2 linked regions of the Xenopus tropicalis genome follow. The protein of the gene in region 2 binds, or shares a complex with, the protein of the main gene of each other region. Links are inferred from orthologs where the notes say so. Each region holds a gene or a part of one and is shown on either strand. Other genes may lie near its edges.

What was found.
Region 1: gtf2f1 (region 2) and polr2f share a complex: the UniProt entries of both Homo sapiens proteins name them as parts of the TBP-based Pol II pre-initiation complex. The link is inferred for Xenopus tropicalis from reciprocal best matches to the Homo sapiens genes GTF2F1 and POLR2F.

The regions. Positions count from the first base shown.
Region 1 is NC_030680.2:122,156,925-122,159,215, forward strand, and holds the end of polr2f (DNA-directed RNA polymerases I, II, and III subunit RPABC2), read left to right. Parts: intron 1-966; coding exon 967-1,038; intron 1,039-1,420; coding exon 1,421-1,511; 3' UTR 1,512-1,639; downstream 1,640-2,291. UniProt on the Homo sapiens protein: DNA-dependent RNA polymerase catalyzes the transcription of DNA into RNA using the four ribonucleoside triphosphates as substrates.
Region 2 is NC_030679.2:140,874,295-140,878,743, reverse strand, and holds the start of gtf2f1 (general transcription factor IIF subunit 1), read right to left. Parts: upstream 2,883-4,449; 5' UTR 2,291-2,882; coding exon 2,279-2,290; intron 250-2,278; coding exon 203-249; intron 1-202. UniProt on the Homo sapiens protein: TFIIF is a general transcription initiation factor that binds to RNA polymerase II and helps to recruit it to the initiation complex in collaboration with TFIIB. It promotes transcription elongation.

The sequences.
Region 1 (2,291 bases), on a different chromosome or scaffold from region 2:
ATGAAGAGGAACACTCATTCGCTTACACCCTGGGCGGTGCAGTTTTCTGCTAACAGGAGTACTGGCTGGGGGTTTCTGTTAAGCTAACATTTTGACACCCCCCAGTGATGATGGTGATTTTGGTGATACTATAATACTATGATTATAGGTTATGTAGCACCGCAGTGCTTTACAGAAATTGTGCTTCAGTCACATCAGTTCCTGCTCAGTGGAGCTTACAGTCTAATTTTATCAGAAACCAATTAGTCTCCCTGTATATTTTTTGAGTATAGGAAGAAACCAGAATACCCAGAGAAAACCCACGCAAGCATGTGGGGAACATGTGGACTCCTTGTTTGACTGCAATTTAACATAGGATCCCAGAGCAGCAAAGCAACAGTGTACTGGAATATAGTATAGAAAAAGCTTGTTTTGGTTATAACATAACAAAATAAGATTTCTGTATATATAATATAGCAATATCATTCTCTGGCTACACTATAGTATAGTGAAATCATGTGTGCATTGCACCACTTAAAAGGAGAACAAAAACCCACGTTTTATTGATTCAAGTGCTCTGCTGCTGAGCGTTTAAGTACAGAACACTGGAGTGTTAATGGTTTGTAGTGTCATGGCAGTTTGCTCTCCTTTTGACTGCCAAAGAGCTCTATTAAGTGACTGACAATGGTCGTTTAAGTAATCCTGACAGGTCACACTTCATTTTGGCATGGAGCAGAATAGGACTGTGTAGCAGTGAGTAACCTTCTTTTATTTTCTCAATGAAATTAAGAAGTGCCGGTTTCAGAATTCAGCGCAAACTATGGCTTTAGCTTGTCTTTGAAAGTTGATTTCTTTTTGACCACCTATTTGCTATTGTTGCTCCTGTTCTCAGGTTATGTGAATAAGTCCTTTTATAAAACATTTAGAGAGAGCCTCACTTAGTTCCTACCACCCTCACTCAGTTTTTGTCCTCCTTCTTTAATACAGGATGTGTGCCCCTGTCATGGTGGAGCTTGAAGGAGAAACGGACCCCCTACTTATTGCCATGAAGGAACTTAAGTAAGTTTTTCTCATCTGCCAGAGAATATGTAACTGTCTAACCTCCACCTGACAGAGGCCAGTTGGGTATGCTAAACACGGTTTGCATGAATCTTTGTTTGCAATTTTGAAATACTTTTCAATTTTCATAGTATCTAGCTTTGGTTTATGTTCAGGAACTTCCAATATTGAGAAAATTGAGGTATGACTTAAAACCAACACCAAAAACCCATATTATTATGGAAATGGATATATATTTGCAAATTCTAACTGGCCTCTTTCAAGGCCAGTTTGTGACTGCAAATTCTGAGTTACAACTACTGGGATTCTTTGCAAGCTAACATATAATTGAGGATGCTTGTATATTCTAGTGATCTTCTAAAGTTTCTTTCTGTTCCCACAGAGCCAGAAAGATCCCTATAATCATACGACGTTACCTTCCAGACGGCAGTTATGAGGACTGGGGGGTGGATGAACTCATCATTACCGACTAAGACCTGTCGTCAGTCCTTGACTTTCCAAGCCTGAAATCTTTGACACCAGTTTTATTCTCTTTTGTCTTGTTGTACATAATTGTTTTTTATGTAAATGCTTTATTTAATAAAAACACAAAAGACCCTCACACACAGCTATCTGTTTGCTGATAAATATCTGCTGAAGAAAGAGAGAGCAGGCTAAAAGGAAGGGTTACTTTTTGTAGCAGAGACTGCCTTTAGATAGTAACAAAACTGACAGCCTATAGGCCATTTAGTGACTAGAAAACTTGGGCGACAGGATGAATTCTAAGCTCCATGCAAGGAGAATAGCATGCACCTGTTTGCTTCCAAAAATGTTCAAAACCTCCCCCACCATCTACCTGTTTTTTTTTGGTAGAACAGAGGAGCCATTGTATGCCCATGTCTCTGCACTTGTTGCTATGGAAATGCCCATGGAGGGGACACCTTTCTCAGGAGTATCAAAAACCAGGATGAATCCCACTCTTTGTTTGGCCAAATATGCGCTCGGCTGCTTCTACGTTCCTGCCACACCTGGGGAACAAGCTAGCACTGATCCAGGTGCTACATTACTGATGGCCACTGCCGCTAAATATTCCTCACACTGATATTTCAGCTCAACAGCGCAGACCTTTTAATCTGACTTCTAGTACATCCTTCTGACTATCGAATTCATTCTATATCCCTGAATGTCTTCTGTGCCCTGTGTAAGGCCACTGGCATCCCAGTAACATAGATGCTGAGGCTGAAAACCAAGTACACATCAGTCAAATTCAGTTT
Region 2 (4,449 bases):
CAGAGAGAAGAGAGAATGCATTGAATATCTATGGAGAAATATCAGGACACTGCACACAGTAAATGGGAAGGATATACTATCTGGGTACAGGGACATCCCAGGTTAAGCATGTATTCTCAGACATATTGATGTTACCAGGCTGGGAGAAGAGAACACAGCTAAGTGCACCCAGATATCCACTAGTAACAGACTGCTTACTTACCTGGGTACACGCACCACATACTCTGTAACAGACTGGCCACTGGTGCCCTGTGGGGAATGAGAATTTCAGTAAATACAGAGATAAAAGAGAAAACAACCATTACTGGATTTGCTCTGGCAGAAAGATATAAGAGTAGCAGGGCCACAGGCTGGGGAAGACGTCTGCTGGTCAATTTGGCACAGGGCTGGGAGACAAGGGGTTAAAGGAATGGGGCTGGGGAAGAAGTCTGCTAGTCAATTTGGCACAGGGCTGGGAGACAAGGGGTTAAAGGAATGGGGCTGGGGAAGAAGTCTGCTGGTCAATTTGGCTCAGGGCTGGGGGACAAGGGGTTAAAGGAATGGGGCTGGGGAAGAAGCCTGCTGGTTATTTTGGCACAAGGCTGGGGGACAAGGGGTTAAAGGAATGGGGCTGGGGAAGAAGTCTGCTGGTCAATTTGGCACAGGGCTGGGGGACAAGGGGTTAAAGGAATGGGGCTGGGGAAAAAGTCTGCTGGTCAATTTGGCACAGGGCTGGGAGACAAGGGGTTAAAGGAATGGGGCTGGGGAAGGGGTCTGCTGGTCAATTTGGCACAGGGCTGGGAGACAAGGGGTTAAAGGAATGGGGCTGGGGAAGATTGTCTGCTGGTCAATTTGGCACAGGGCTGGGAGACAAGGGGTTAAAGGAATGGGGCTGGGGAAGATGTCTGCTGGTCAATTTGGCTCAGGGCTGGGAGACAAGGGGTTAAAGGAATGGGGCTGGGGAAGAAGTTTGTTGGTCAATTTGGCTCAGGGCTGGGGGACAAGGGGTTAAAGGAATGGGGCTGGGGAAGAAGTCTGCTGGTCAATTTGGCACAGGGCTGGGGGACAAGGGGTTAAAGGAATGGGGCTGGGGAAGAAGTCTGCTGGGAGACAAGGGGTTAAAGGAATAAGCATTAGTAATGTCTGTTCTGTTAAAGGAGAAGTAAAGTTACAATCACTGGGTGGGGGGAGCCAAAATATTAGCCCCCCCAGTGATTGTGATCACTTACCTGAAACCCCCAGCCGGTGCTTCTATTGGGAGAAAACTGCCCCAGCCTGGGGTGTATGTGAGCCAGTGTTTCTCTTCCTGCTTCGGTCTTTGCCCACGCGCAGTAGAGTGAGGAGCCGACTAACAATAAAGCTGTCTGTTTCACTCAACTGCCCCGGGATTCAGAATAAAGGAGGAAGAGGAACGCTCTCTCACATATACCCTGGGCCGGGGCAGTTTTCTCCTAACAGCAGCACCAGCCTGGGGTATCAGGTAAGCGATCACTCAGTCATTTAGCCTTTCTTCTCTTTTAAAGGGGACATATTGGATAAATGGGAAAAACCCTAATCCTGTAGGCAATTATGAATAATATACGGTGCTGGTTTCCCTTTGGGCTAAACATTAATCCTATCTGTAACAATGGCCCCTTTATTGGCGCTCCCTATAGATCCTATCACTTCTCTGTCTGTGTTTGAAATGAGGGGTGGGCGTGTCCTAACGGTCCCTGCCAGAAGCACAGTAGGAGGGGAGTAGCCAGTCACAGCCCTGCACTCACACAAGCACAGACAGGCTTCAGTTCCCTATCAGGTCAGCCTAGCTGCTGATTGGTTCCTATATTACAAAGCAGTGTACAGAGTGCCGCCGGCTCCCCTGCACATCCAGAGAATTCAGCCAGCAGAAAGTGGAACAGATGGGCAGGACTAGTGGGGTTTTGGGGGAATATCTCAATAAATCAGTCTGAAACACAACTTTCATACACATTACATTCATCATTTTTATAGGATATGTCTCCTTTAAAAAGTAGCTGGCAGATTGCTAAAGCAAATGGGAAGAAGAGAAGAAGGAAAGAGTGTTACACTCACTTAGATTGTAAGCTCTACGGGGCAGGGACCTCCTTCCTACTGTCTCATACCACATGGCACTTACTCCCCATGTATTTATATTTATTTATTGTATTTATTATAACACTTGCCCTCCCTGTGTGTAATTGTGTATATTGTAAGATTGTACAGCGCTGCGTACCCTTGTGGCACTTTATAAATAAAGTTATACATACATACAGACAAACACAGGTACTTGTACACCACTTACCAGCGACGCCATCGCTTCTCAGGGCAGGTTCCCTTGGGATCTATAAAAGATAGAATTCAATTGTCTCAATACACACACACACAGACAGTTGCATGAAGCGAAGCGATAAGCATTATCCTGCCTCTATGGGGAGGGGCTGGTAAAGTCAGTACAAAGCCAGAATGGTGACCCTATATACAGTACATACTCACTAATGGGGTTATAGTATAGTTACTAGTATAGTATATATATATATATATAGTTAGTTTTCTGTTGGTGAGAGTAGTTTCAAGCCCCCCCCCCCCCAGATATATAGAGATGGGAGAGCTGTAGTTAGACTTGTCCTTGTTTGACTGACCCTTCCCTAAGGCAGTAGCATGATAGGAAGGCAATATAGAATGGAGTTCAGTAGGGAAGGGAAGCATACAGCACAATGACTTTCTATATATAATGATTAATGGCGCAGGTTAGTGGCTGTGCTACAGCCCCGGCTGAATGAAGCACCTGATGGGAGGAAAGTGAGGGCAGGCGTAGGGATATCCCAGTCCCAGCAGCGGAAGGAAAGTGTGAGAGCAGGCGTAGGGATATCCTACACATGAGCCGCTTACACAACACTCTTTCTCTGCCTCACCAACACACACAAGTCTCTCCACTGCAAACTTCCGGTCACCGGCTCCCTGGTACTTCCGGCGCAGCTTCCTGAACGTAGCGCAAGAAAAAAAAGGGAAGTTAGTTGGCGGCGGCCATATTTCATACTGGCAACAGAGGAAGTTCAGCGGCAGTGAATGGGCAAACTTTGACATATTGCTTACCCTGACATTAATTTCATGGGGAGCTCGGAATGCCTCAAATTATATCGCATTGAAGTATTTTAATGTAAAAGTCACTCCCCTCTATCAGAAATGACTTAAACTGGGTACAGGGTGAGGTTGAGTTGGGATTCAATACCCCTTATCTCAACCTGGCTCTCACATTCCATTTGTAAGGTTAAAGGAACAGTAACACCAAAAAATGAAAGAGCTTTAAAGTAATAAAAATATAATGTATTGTAGCCCTGCACTGGTAAAACTGGTGTGTTTGCTACAGTAACACTACTATAATTTATATAATAAGCTGCTGTGTAGCCATGGGGGCAGCCATTCAAGCTGGAAAAAAGGAGAAAAGGCACAGGTTACATAGCAGATAACAGATAAGCTCTGTAGAATACAATAGTGTTTTATCTGTTATCTGCTATGTGCCTGTGCCTTTTCTCCTTTGAATGGCTGCCCCCGTGGCTACATAGCAGCTTATTTATATAAATTATAGTAGACTTTCTGAAGTAAACACACAACTTTTACCAGTGCAGGGCAGCAGCACATTATATTTTAGTTACTTTTATACACTTTCATTTTTTGGTGTTACTGTTCCTTTAAAGGGGAAGTGTGACCCAATATTGTTACACCCATTACTGTCTGTATATGAATGTAACTGTAACCCATCATGTACATAAAAGTGCACAGTGCAATATAACAACAGAGTCCCTTGGATGATTTATGTGCCTATTGGGTTATCCATTCCATCAGGTGGGTAGGAAGGTTGCCTTGTTCTATCCCTATCTGTGGGTTCAGGCAAATGCCAGAGGGGCTGCTGTAAGATGCCATAGTCACTCACTATTTATTGGGCCTATGGGGGGGGGGCTGTTTGGGCCTCTGTATACTGAAAATCAGGCCCAGACTGGCAATCTGTGGGTTCAGGCAAATGCCAGAGGGCTGCTGTAAGATGCCATAGTCAGTCACTATTTATTGGGCCTATGGGGGGGGGGGGCTGTTTGGGCCTCTGTGTACTGAAAATCAGGCCCGGACTGGCAATCTGTGGGTTCAGGCAAATGCCAGAGGGGCTGCTGTAAGGTGCCATAGACACTCACTATTTATTGGGCCTATGGGGGGCTGTTTGGGCCTCTGTATACTGAAAATCAGGCCCGGACTGGCAATCTGTGGGTTCAGGCAAATGCCAGAGGGGCTGCTGTAAGGTGCCATAGACACTCACTATTTATTGGGCCTATGGGGGCTGTTTGGGCCTCTGTGTACTGAAAATCAGGCCTGGACTGGCAATCTGTGGGTTCTGGCAAATGCCAGAGGGGCTGCTGTAAGGTGCCATAGACACTCACTATTTATTGGGCTGCTGGGCGGCTGTTTGGGCCTCTGGGTACTGAA